Linked DNA regions of Caenorhabditis elegans. The protein of the gene in region 1 purifies or fractionates together with the protein of each later gene. This does not show direct contact. Each region holds a gene or a part of one and is shown in the gene's direction. Other genes may lie near its edges.

Evidence for each region.
Region 2: the proteins of rsp-1 (region 1) and Y54F10BM.3 fractionate together in Caenorhabditis elegans (co-fractionation; one large-scale study listed by BioGRID). This does not show direct contact.
Region 3: the proteins of rsp-1 (region 1) and selt-1.1 fractionate together in Caenorhabditis elegans (co-fractionation; one large-scale study listed by BioGRID). This does not show direct contact.

Annotation. Positions count from the first base shown.
Region 1 is NC_003280.10:11,451,992-11,456,475, forward strand, and holds rsp-1 (putative splicing factor, arginine/serine-rich 1), read left to right. Parts: upstream 1-1,988; 5' UTR 1,989-1,989; coding exon 1,990-2,112; intron 2,113-2,165; coding exon 2,166-2,398; intron 2,399-2,449; coding exon 2,450-2,522; exon of another isoform or gene 2,523-2,650; coding exon of another isoform or gene 2,651-2,668; exon of another isoform or gene 2,669-2,927; coding exon of another isoform or gene 2,928-2,930; exon of another isoform or gene 2,931-3,033; coding exon 3,034-3,107; intron 3,108-3,159; coding exon 3,160-3,450; intron 3,451-3,497; coding exon 3,498-3,642; 3' UTR 3,643-3,814; downstream 3,815-4,484. Other genes in the region: rsp-2 (putative splicing factor, arginine/serine-rich 2), read right to left, coding at 1-110, 159-235, 525-782, 835-954. UniProt on the Caenorhabditis elegans protein: Plays a functionally redundant role in spermatogenesis and growth rate control.
Region 2 is NC_003281.10:2,280,338-2,285,099, forward strand, and holds the start of Y54F10BM.3 (Tyrosine-protein phosphatase domain-containing protein), read left to right. Parts: upstream 1-1,687; 5' UTR 1,688-1,748; coding exon 1,749-1,821; intron 1,822-2,757; coding exon 2,758-2,809; intron 2,810-2,861; coding exon 2,862-2,936; intron 2,937-3,459; coding exon 3,460-3,754; intron 3,755-3,893; coding exon 3,894-4,047; intron 4,048-4,762. Other genes in the region: Y54F10BM.22 (Neuropeptide-Like Protein), read left to right, coding at 584-747, 1,249-1,384.
Region 3 is NC_003284.9:11,544,536-11,548,246, reverse strand, and holds selt-1.1 (Thioredoxin reductase-like selenoprotein T homolog selt-1.1), read left to right. Parts: upstream 1-1,751; coding exon 1,752-1,818; intron 1,819-1,861; coding exon 1,862-1,961; intron 1,962-2,158; coding exon 2,159-2,266; intron 2,267-2,318; coding exon 2,319-2,442; intron 2,443-2,492; coding exon 2,493-2,837; 3' UTR 2,838-3,156; downstream 3,157-3,711.

The DNA of each region.
Region 1 (4,484 bases):
TGCGGTCACGGGTCTCATCCGTGCATTTGAGCTTTCTTCCGTTCAGGTCTTCACCTTGCAACTTGTTCATCGCATCACGCAAGTCGTCATGGGAAGTGAAGCATACGATTCTAAAAATAAAAACGATGAATTACATTTAAAAGAAGTGCATATCATACGCTTGGTTGACATTTCTCTTGTGCGCCTCGGAGTAGGTCGGCTCGATTCCCAGCTTGCGGATGTGGTCCTTGATGTCCTAAAATTCAGGTACAGGGTATTGATTGTTTGTGAAGTAGGGCCAGATTGATAGGAGGAAGAAGAATGCCATTGACTGAGGAAATTGATTGAGAGCAATTGAATTGCAAATTGTATTGGCAAATGGCACACCCACTGAGTTGCTGCTGTAGCATTCAAAATGTTCGTTTTGAAAAAATGAGTGACAGTTTTCAGTAAAATTTGGAACGGGGGTAGTATTTCGTTAGTTGTTCAATCACACTCAAACACGCAACTTGTGAATCGCTATGGCTCGCAGTCATGTATCTTACCTGCCAACTGTAACGAGTAGACAAATTATCGATCACCAAACGGAATCTAGTCGAGCACGGACGACTGTATCGGTTGGAAAACTGGCGCTCGCCGCCTTTTCTGAACGTTGGCTCACGTCCTCTGAAACCACTCCCACTTCTTTCCTCGTTGTACCCAACTTTACGCCGTGGAAACTCAAGAATGACTCTCTCTCCACAAAGCTCTTTCCCATTCAAATCGTGGACAGCGTCATCGGCATCGCGCTGGTCTTGAAAATCCTGAAATTATGACATATTCAAGATATTCTGACGAAAATATGTTATCTCTTACCACGAAACCAAATCCGTTCTTCATTATGACATCAGACAGCTTTCCATATCCGCGGAAGAAGTGCTCGACATCACGATCAGATGCTCTATTTGGCAAACGACCGATGTAGACACGAACCATGTTTAGAGGTCTGAAATAAGTGAAGAATGAGAAAAGTCAATTCAAAAGAGAGAAGAAATAAGAAAAGTCTGGAGAAATAAAAATTATTGTGGCCAGAGAGGAAGAGAATTTGGGCATTGCACATTAAATAGGAGGCAATATGTACATGCACATGCACGCGACGCGCTGAAATTAAGTCGATAATCAATAAAATGGGAGCACAGGACGATGCCACAGAGTTATAAAACGAGAAACGCGCAATGGTATCCCATTAATGCGTCAGCAGCGTTCTGACACGCACTTAGTGCTCTAAGCGTTGCGGTTGCGTCGCGGGTGCCCTCATTTGAAACTGATTTTCGCATTTTGTGCGGCATTTCTTCTTATTTTTAAAGTATTTCACTAATCCTGCATTGAATTTCGCCTGCGTAGGTGTTCAGGTTGATATGCTCTTAACTTTTCATCAGAATGCAAACTATAATCTTGTGGTTTTAGGATTTTATATGAAAATAAGTCGAATAAGCGCTTTAAGATGTTTTTTTTGTGATGAAAGGCATTGATTCACAGAATCTCAAATAAAGAATATCAAAGCAAAATGAGTCCATTGGCTAACCTGGATGTGAAAGCGTTAAGTGTTATATATTTACTTTAAAAAAAACTTCAAATTATTTTCAAGCTAGGAAACGATATTAGAACTTTAAAAAACGCAGAAAATCATCAAATTCGAAAGGAAGGAATTTTAGGATTACGCAAATGCAAGATCATTTTTTTCATATGTGGGTCAGAGTTTGAAACTAATTAGGAGAAAAACATTGCAACTAATTTAAGAAATGTAGGGCGCAGACGAGAAAAGAGTGGTTGTACGCAGAGAAAATGAGTGTGTTTTGAGTAAAACAGCTGCCCCGCTTATCGGCCAAGGTGCGCGTTGTTGTCATGGCTACATTGTCTGTGAGTGCGCTCTCAAACGCGCACATTTTGTGAATCGATAATCTTCTCGTCTTCAATATTATTTTTCTCCTCTGTGATACAGGCCATTCATTCATTCGCTTTCTTTTCAGCATGGCAGCTCGAATTTACATCGGTCGGTTGACTTCTCGTGTTTCTGAAAAGGACATTGAGCATTTCTTCCGTGGTTATGGCCAAATTCGCGACGTCCTACTCAAGAATGGTTTTGGATTTGTCGTAAGTTATAATTTCTAAAACCATTTCAGTTTCCTAATGTCATTTTTTTTCAGGAGTTCGACGACAAGCGTGACGCCGAAGACGCAGTTCATGATTTGAACGGAAAGGAGCTCGGTGGAGAGCGTGTCATATTGGATTATTCCAAACCACGAGGAGGCGGTGGCGACCGCGGTGGTTTCGGTGGTGGCGGTCGTGGAGGTGCACGAGTCAGCTCATACAGCGGTGGTGGCGGTGGAGGACGCGATAGATTCGATCGTTATGATCGTGGACCACCAAGAAGAGAAAGGTAATTGAATGAAGCGATAGTGGCAATAATAATAACCACTTACATTTTCAGTCGCTACGGTCGTCCATACAGCACTCGTCATCGCGTCGTCGTCGAGAATCTCTCATCTCGAATTTCTTGGCAGGTATGTAAAACGAAACGGAGATAGAAACTGTAATACATCTATTGAAACTTTATCTTGACAAAATACAACACGATCATCTCAATTTGTCAGTGGGAGGAAAACATCTTTCCTAATATTTTATATTTAAGCAGGAGAAGATTGTATGATAACTGGAGGATCTTGTTGTTGATGATGATTCTTGTGATTTGGTATCATGTGATCCCGAGCCTGTCTGATGATGGTCGGACCGCAGAACAAAGGGCGCAAAATGATTATTGGCTCTCCTTCTCCCGCGTAGTCTTGATGTTCTTGGTTCCTGTACTTTTTGGTCCTGCACGCTGGGATGTGATTTCGGGTTTTTGGTGTTCGCGTGGTTAGGCTGAGTGGTTCGGATGATCCCGCATCAAACATGTGCAAGGATTGCATATGGTAATCCCGATTGTGCGCTATTCACGCACATTTTTCACAACACCTTGGAAAGCCGTCAAATATCGACAGATGTAATTATGTAGCATCTTTATTGTGTTTTCAGGATCTCAAAGACCAAGTCCGCCGCCAAGGAGTTGAACCAACCTATGCCGAAGCTCATAAGAGACCAAATGAAGCGTAAGTTTGCAATTTGTAGATAGAAGATGAAAAATAACAAATCAATTTTCAGACTTCTCTGCTTCGCAACACCATCCGATCTTAAAAGATGCATTGAGAAATGCGATGGAATGGATTTGAATGGAAGAAAGATCAAGATGATCGACGACTCGCAAGCTGGACGCTCACGTTCTCGATCCAACAGTCGCTCTCGCAGCCGTTCTCGCAGTCGTGATCGTCGCCGCTCCCGCTCTCGCAGCTCGAGTCGCTCAAAGAGCCGTAGCCGTTCCCCACCAAAACGCTCTCGACGCGAATCGAAGTCCAAGTCTCGCAGCAGAAGCCGTTCTCGCAGCGCTGACAACAGGTATTGATATTATAAAAGTGATGATTTAAAAAACAAACTATTTTCAGAAAGTCTCGTTCGCCATCAAGATCTCCAAAGAAGGTCGATCGCTCTCCATCTCCACCACGCGGATCGCGTTCGCCTTCGGAAAAGGGATCCCCGAGACGTTCGAGAAGCGCATCTCCAATGGATAATGGAGACGGTGACAACTAAACTCGCTTCGGTTCCAAAACAAATGTTCCGTTATTTAATTAATCACTAAATTCAAATTTCCTTATTCCACTTCTGTTTCTCTTTTTACCCAAGCTGAATAAGCACAGTTCTCTGAACTTTTAAAATTTTTATTTGTTTATTTTATGGATCTCAAATGATAAATTTCGAGAAATTATGCACTTGTAATTATGGCTATAAGAATTATTAAAGCAGGAATGAATGTTAGAGAAGAAGAAGAACTCGTCGTAGTTTCAATATGAGATTCAACAGTGAGGCCTGTAATGAGATCAAACTGGAATTGCTGAACCATCGAATCCCAGAAGTTGTAATCAGATTGGAAAAGATCTGAAGTTCGAATTGTGTTAATGATTTTAAAGAGTTAACAGACGTTTATCAGTTGTTGGCTTTGGCCCGATAACTGTATGAGAAACTGATGAGTCGTATAAAGGCCAATTAAATTCCGAGCTTGAAGGATTTCTGAAAGTTTGGAAGCTACTGTAGGCTGCTATGCTGATACTTTTTCAGATACCCCGTCTTTATGAAATTTGTCAAGGATGTGATTAAAAATGCGGAGACTGTTCTATCATCGTCGTTAAATTCGAAATAATTGTCCTTGTAGACTCCCCAAATGTATGGGAATTCATGACAGTGATAAGTAGCCCGAACTGGAAAGTCTACATCAAACTCGGCTGGATTAAAATACGGAAAATGGTAAAGATAAAGATCAGGCGATACTTGAGATCTTGCACGAGCTTCTCGAAGAATAGGAATATCGAATCCAGTGTTTGAGTCGATCTGGAAAAGTTCGATATTACGCGGACGGAAAATTTTGTGGTTTTCAG
Region 2 (4,762 bases), on another chromosome or scaffold:
TTTTTTTCAATTTTTTCAAAACTCCATAACTTTGCCAATTTTCAAGATTCTGAGCCTAGATTAGTTTTAAATAGTACCCTCAATATTTTTCCATAAAATATAACATAGGAATTTACAAGAACCCGTAAAACTACAGTACCCCATAACTTTCCGTGTAGAGACCCAAAAAATTTTTGTTTTTTTTTTTGAAAAATTGGAAAAAAATTTTCAAAATTTTTTTTTTCAAACTTAAATTAATTTTACTGATTTTGTTGAAGTTTTTCGCTATATTAAAATTGATTTTAAAAAATCTGCACCCATTGCTTAGGTGCAAAATGTATCCCTCTACCCCTTTTCAGGTACACTAAGAATTCAGCGAATTCAGATTTGCCAAACATCAAAACAATGGAATTTTTCATTGTTTCTCACGTGTAGCAACTGATAAAAACTGATAAAAGATATCAAAATTGATCCTATGACGTCATCATGTCTTATGACGAATTCCACCCCCCGCTGACTGTGAGAAAAGTATTTAAAAACTTGATTTTTCAAGTTTTTCCCTAAAAACTTTTTACACTTTCTCTATGTAAAAGTTCAAAAAAACATGCGAAAAACTACAGTAACCTTATTATTTTTGATATTTTTTATTCAAATTTCTGAAATTCTGACTCTACCTATCAATTATGGTGCATCGTTGAACTCTGTACACTCGGATGACCTGAGTGCTGAGGATTATCAAGTTTTGAGGAAAAATGAGACAAAAATTGAGTAAGTTCATTGATTTTTTGCTAATAGAAAGGTTTTTGAAATTTTGGAAAAATTAAAAAAAAAATTTTTTTGAAAAAAACTTGTTTAAAAATAATAATTCCGCCAAATTATCGATTTTTTTGGTCGAAATCTCAAGTTTTAAATGTTTTCTTTAATTTTATTGAATTCAGCGTCATTGATTACCCCTATCCCAAAATTTTGGGCCTTCTAGCTCAATTTTCAAGAATTGGCTGAGTAGCGACCCATTGCGATACGGAGTTTGGTCAGTTTTAGTGCAAATGGCTAAAAATTTAGGATTCTGGGTTTCCAAGTATGGCAAATTTAATGATAATGTTAGTTTTTCAAAACTATGACTCCGTATCGCAGTTCTGAGTCGCTACTCAGCCAAATTTCAAAATTTTGAGATTTTGAGCTAGAGCTCTGAAAACCTATAGATAAGGGTAATCAATCACGCTGAATCCAAAAATAACTTCTAAAACCAAAAATTTTAATTTTTTCCAGAAGAATCCACAGAATTCAGCAATTTTTCAAAGCGGAGCACCACGAATCCACGTGGCGAGACTCGATTTGCAGTGCATTCCACTCGTTTTCACTGTTCCCGCCAAACTGCTTTGCGGCTCCGCCAAACGACAAATAAATCGATATTATTGATTTATGAAATGACATGATTTTTTTCTACGACGCACAATAAATTTTTGTGATTTTCTGATTTTTTTTGATTTTTTTTTGGGTCTCGTCACGAAAAGTTGTGGGGTACTGTAGTTTTTACCGGAATTTCTAAAATTTTTATTTTATCTTTTACGTGGGTAGTTTTCGCACATTTTAAGCCAAAAATGAACAAAATATCTCAAAAACTAAAAAAGTTACAAAATTTTTAAAAAATTGAATAAAAACGTAAAAACTCAAAAATTGCCAAAAAACATTCCACGTCGGGAACCACGTCGTTTGATTTTCGAAAGTCGATAAATCGATATTGAAAAATTTATTTCACAATATTCAAGATGAAATTGTGGTCGATTTTATTGGTGACCATATCGATTTTTGGCATCTGCCACGTGGAACCATATGAGCTAAGTAAGTACGGGGGTTTGACGCCAAGATACGGTTCGATTCTACAAAATTATCGGATTTTTCGGGAAATTATCGATTTTCTTGAGAAATTATCGATTTTCTGGCGGAAATATCGATTTTCTTGCTAAATTATCGATTTTCTTGCGAAATTATCGATTTTTTCGCGAAATTATCGATTTTTTCGGGAAATATTGATTTTCGGGAAATTATCGATTTTCTGGCGAAATTACCGATTTTTCGCGAAATATTGATTTTTTCGCGAAATATTGATTTTCGGGAAATTATCGATTTTTTCGCGAAATTATCGATTTTTCGCGGAATTATTGATTTTCTGGCGAAATTATCGATTTTCTTGCGAAAATATCGATTTTCTTGCGAAATTATCGATTTTTGGCGAAATTATTGATTTTCTTGCCAAATTATCGATTTTTCGCGAAATTATTGATTTTCTTGCGAAATTATCGATTTTCTCACGTGTCGAAAAGTTGCCCTTATTTTTTATTTCTGTCAAGAATGCAATTTCAGGATTTAATATAGGAAGAGGCAGATTTTCTTGCGAAATTATCGATTTTTTCGCGAAATTATCGATTTTTTTCCCGAAATTATTGATTTTCCAGGAAATTATCGATTTTTAAAAAATTATCGATTTTTAAAAAATTATCGATTTTTAAAAAATTATCGATTTTTAAAAAATTATCGATTTTTTGCGTAATTACTGATTTTCGATAAATTATCGATTTTTTCGCGAAATTATCGATTTTTGATATTTTCGATGAACACGTGGAGTTTGTTATTTATTTCTTTTTGAAAATGACGTGGAGAGGACGGTAAAAAAAAGCCACGTGGCCATTGCGATTGCGAAATTATCGATTTTTGATAATTTATCGATTATTCGCGAAATTATCGATTTTTCAACAAAAATTTATTGATTTTTTCCAGGTTTCGTCGATTGGCCTACACCCGCCCCGCCGACCTCAACAACTCCACCAGTGTAAGTCTATCCGTTGTCCCGTTAGTTTATCCCGATGACCGCTCTTTTTCAGATCCTCAACCAAACCACCACCTGCTGAACAGTTTAATTCGCTGACCGACATTCTCGACCTAATTCCAATCGAAGTGTAAGTTGTGAAAATTTGACATCGATAATTGCTCGGCGGCGAAAAATTGGTTTTTTTTTTTCGAAAAATCGATAATCTATGTTGATTTTATTGATTTTTTTGGTCGGATTTTTGAAGAAAAATCAATAATTTTTATTGATTTTTTGTTCAAAAAATCGATAACTTGCGTCATTTCTTTTATCGAAAATCAGTAATTTCGCAAAAAAATCGATAATTTCGCAAGAAAATCAATAATTTCGCAAGAAAATCGATAATTTCGCGAAAAAATCGATAATTTCGCAAGAAAATCGATAATTTCGCAAGAAAATCGATAATTTCGCAAGAAAATCGATAATTTTGCAAGAAAATCGATAATTTTGCAAGAAAATCGATAATTTCGCGAAAAAAATCGATAATTTCGCGAAATTATCGATTTTCTTGCGAAAAAATCAATAATTTCACGAAAAAGTCGATAATTTCGCGAAAAAAATCGATAATTTCGAAAGAAAATCGATAATTTCGCAAATTTTCTGTAATTTTTCAGCTGGCTTGTTGTACTTTTCCTGGAATCTGCGTTTGTTGGAGCATTTGGAGCATATTGCTACTGGAAAGTTCAACAATGGCGCGACGAGAAAATGGCAAGGGAAAAGGCTTGGGAAAGGCGTCTGGCACGAGTTTCTGAAGTTTCGGCTTCGAAAAATCGAAACGCTGGAGGTGTGGATCCTGCAAAAAGACCGAGAGAATCAGCCAAATGGCTGAAACATGTAAAGGAGGTGACGCTGAAACGGGGTGGAGTCGAGCTGCTGCCGATGGAGGATGTGATCGTGAAAAATAAAGAGGTAGAGATTTTTCCGAAAAAATTTGAAAATTTACGTGTCAAAAATCAAGGAAAAATCTTGAAAATGAACAAAGTTATGGGTTTTCGAAAAAAAAATTTTTTTTTGAAAATTTTTTTTGTAAAAAAATTTGTTTTTTCAGAAATTCAAAAAGCCACAAAATGAGCTTCGAGAAAATGAAGTGTGGGTGGAAAGACAAACGGGCCCTGATATTGATAAAGATTCGGACCCAAAGACGGAAAATGCATTGGATGAGCAGGATTATCAGCTGGAAGATGGATGGCACGGCAAGTCAGGTATGGTTTTAAAATCAGGTTTTAAGAAATTTTACTTTAAACATTGCAAGTTATTAAATTAAACATTAAACTCACAAAAAGATTGCGCTCATTTTAAGACTATATTCAATCGAATATCTTTAAAATTCGCAGAGTTATGTAGTTTTGAAAATAAAATTTGAAAATTTGAAATTTTTTTTTAAATTTTTATTTTCTTGAAAGCTCGAGCTAACTTTCAATTCAAAACCGATTTGGCGTGAATTTTCAGATTTAGCACGCCTAGAGCTTTCAAATAACACCCATCATGACTAGGTTTCGCCTGTTTTGGGTCCCCAAGTTTTCAAAGTGGACGGAGCTTAGTCAATATGGGTGTTAAATGGAAAGTCTTGACACGCTGAATTAAAAAATGAGCAAAAAATTGTAAAAATTTTTTATGTTTTCCAAAAATCTCAAAAAAAAATTTTTTTTTTTTTAATTTTTTTCTAAATTTTTAGACTTTTTTTGCACCAACTGAGAAATAATTAACAAATTCAAAATAATCACATTGAGACCTTTAAAATAAAACCCATCATGACTAGGTTCCGCACATTTTGGGTCCCGCCACGAAAATGCCGCCGGGAGTACTCTGGTTTTCGTGGTGGGACCCAAGAATTTGCAATTTTTAATCTGAAACGTTCAAATCGGTTTCGTAGAAAATTTTAAAAGTTTTTGAAACAAAAATTTTGAAAAAAAATTT
Region 3 (3,711 bases), on another chromosome or scaffold:
GGGTCATTGCAAAATACGATGTTGTTGCGTGACGTGGCATGAAGCCATTAGAACAATACAAACGCAGAATAGAAAATAATGGGGAAAGAATCCTAAAATGGGTAGCGAACAAAGTGATGAAAGAGAAACATGACAAAGCGTGGAACAAAAACCGAAAATTTGGAGAATTGAAAGAAAAATGTGAAGAACGAATCGTTTTGAATGCAAATGAGCATTTGAAAAACGAAAACCTCGGAGAAAGGGAGACCTCACACATCTGCGGATGAGTCATTGTGGAGCCAGAGGAAACGCGTCGTGGGCACTGACCCCAGAAATTGCAAAGTGTACGGACGGTTAATTTAGAACATCTGAGGATGTTAGTGTCTAAAGGCCATCCACACACATACACATACACACGTAGTGACTCCCCCTCCTTCTTCAAGTCATTGATATCTGTCGTAAAAGCCCATAAAACTAATGCATTTGAGGTGAGATGGGTTAGGTTGGGGGAAAAGATGGATGAGAAGGGCAAGTTCCTTTTTTTTTTGTTTTCCTTCAGGAGTGAGAAGTGGAAGAATCCGGATGCGATTCAATTAGTTTGTCACCACTCCACCTCGGCAAATGTGAGATGCGTATTGTTGGTGGTGTAACTTTTTGAGATTGAGATGCTAGCACGAAAAGAAGATAGATGCTTTTCAAAAATAATGAGAATCCACGATGAATTGCAAAAGCAAGATGTTTGTCATTAGATTTGAGAAATGGTCAATTACATTTTTCTAAGACACTGGGGGTGAAAAACATTTATTAAGATATACATATTTTTTTTTGAAAGGAAGTTTAAACTTGCAAACACTGCTTGTGTATTACATGCACTCATTTTTAAAGTAATTTTTAAGTTGTAAAAATAAAAAAGTGTGGAAATTTTTTTATATTTTAAAGCTTACAATTAGAAAATAAGCATTTCTGAGCCAAACGAGGAAAATTCCACATCACGTTCAATTTAAACGGAGAAATCAATGAGCATTTTCATTAATTTTAAAATGAAAGTATGTAATACACAAGTACCAAAATAAGAAATTAACTCATTGTAAAAAAGTCTCAATAAGATATTGCAATTGCACGACAACAAAGTTCACTTTCTCGGAAACCGATTTCTTGTGTTTGACTGTTTGACCTTCACGGAAACCAAGAATCCATTAAGAATCTCAAAAAGAAACTAATTCTATAACGTAGCGTATTGATCACATCAAAACAACTCCTCCCATATCATATCCAATGAACAATAAAAAACGAGTTAAAATGAGAAACAAGGAAAGAGAAGACTGTGCACATAAAATTAAAGGTTATGCGAGTGTGCGAATATGAGGTGACTCAACGTCCTCCAAACACACACGCATACACACACCGAGAACCGTTCAAAGAGAACGAGAGAGTGTGTGAGGCGCGGAGGCATCAGACACTGGCGAGTGATGGGGCGCGTTTGCTACGGGCGAGTCAAGTATTGATCGCTGAGACTCCGCAGTGGTCTTGGTGCTGCGCGCTCGTTTGGAATACCCTGTGTTGTCCGCTTGTGTGTCGAGAGGGTGTTTCTGTCATATCATACTCTCCTGCGCGTCCGCTTTCTTTGCTTTTTCTAGTGTAAAACACTTCATCAAATGTGTTCTTCTCTGACATTTTTATCTAATTTTTTTTGTTGCAAAAAAGATGATGAAAAATTTCATTTCCTTCTCTATAGTGTTTTGATGTTTTTTTTGCCATTATTGATTTTTCAGATGTCACGGTTTGGGGTATTTATCATAGGAGTTCTCTTCTTTATGTCAGTTTGTGATGTGCTGAGAAGTAAGTTGTGACACATCATAAATGAAATAAACAACCCAAGTAGCTGTTTCAGCGGAAGAGCATTCACACGATGAGAACCACGTACATGAAAAGGACGATTTTGAAGCAGAATTTGGAGACGAAACAGATTCACAAAGCTTCAGGTATTATTTTTTTAAAGGTCGAATTGTGAAATTAAAATCAATTTTATTTTCAAAAAAGTGAAAATCTAACGCATGACCGTTTTCAATTTTTCAAGCTTTCTAAGGTGCTCAATAAAATTTCTAAGTTCATGATAATTAGTTTCCAACAGGTTAACTGAAATTTTTCAAACAAGTGCTACAAAACTTAATTTTTTCAGTCAAGGAACCGAAGAAGATCATATTGAAGTCCGGGAGCAATCCTCATTTGTTAAGCCTACAGCCGTCCACCACGCCAAGGATCTTCCAACATTGAGAATTTTCTACTGGTAATATTTATACATATATAGGTTCTACTAGAAATTATGCATAATTTTTCAGTGTTTCATGTGGTTATAAGCAAGCTTTCGACCAGTTCACCACTTTTGCCAAAGAAAAGTATCCAAATATGCCAATTGAAGGAGCCAACTTTGCACCGGTTCTTTGGAAAGCTTATGTTGCTCAGGTACTGTTCAATTTGAAGTGACTTGGATTATTTATAAAATGTATTTTTAGGCTCTCAGTTTCGTCAAAATGGCAGTTCTCGTGCTGGTGCTAGGTGGAATAAATCCATTTGAGAGATTTGGTCTTGGATACCCACAGATTCTGCAGCACGCACACGGAAACAAGATGTCGTCCTGTATGCTGGTGTTCATGCTCGGCAACCTTGTTGAACAAAGTCTCATTTCTACTGGAGCATTCGAAGTTTACCTTGGCAATGAACAAATCTGGAGTAAAATCGAGTCAGGTCGTGTACCATCCCCTCAGGAATTCATGCAACTTATCGATGCTCAACTTGCGGTGCTCGGAAAAGCTCCTGTCAACACAGAATCATTTGGAGAGTTCCAACAGACTGTCTAAAACGCTATGTTTTCAATTTGACACCGTGTTACCATAATTATTTACAATGTATTCTTGCTGCTCAAACTGATTCATTCCCTCACTCGTCATCCGACGCCTTATTTTATTAAGTTAAATTAACTTTTTATTTGTTTCTCAACGTGTGTAAATTATTTGCAGTCATAAAAATTCTCGCCACTTTTATTTCACCTCTAATGATTTTCTATTCAAATAATGTTACGTTTTGTTTTTTTTTAAATAATTATTTACCATTAAGGAATCAAATTTTTGAAACCAGTTTTTTCATTTGAAATTTTTCAGAAATAATATTTTTTACTAGAGTATTAGTTTTGTTTATTTAAAAACAAATCACAAAGTAAAAAATTCGTTTAAGGAATGTTTCGCGCAAATGAATGCAACATTTACAAAAGCAATCTCCTTGGATAATTGCTTAGAATATTTTAAGAGTTCTTCGTCGTCTACTGAAGTTTCCATTTTTGATATCAAGCTGTGTACTTGAGAGATTGCGTTTCCACGATACCAGTTGTCCGCACTCGGGCGGAAGAGCACATGACGACTCTGCGGATCTCCAAGGATACCATGCGGGTTTATGAAACATTTTTCAAATCTGAAAAATCTAATATGTGAAAATTGAAGTTTTCATAAGCATGCATACCTTTGCTGTCTTTTCTAACAGTTCAAACTGTTTCTGGGGCTCAGTCAAGTACTCAGAAATGTTTTCAAAAGTCTGAGCCTTATTAATGTGTTGTTGTATTCTCGGGAAATACTCATCAAGAACTCTGTCCATTAACTCTTTTAAGCTGAAATTATTTCTACTTGGTAGAAAACGCAAATTGCAGTGCTTACTCATAAGGAAGAATTCTGCTTTCCGAAA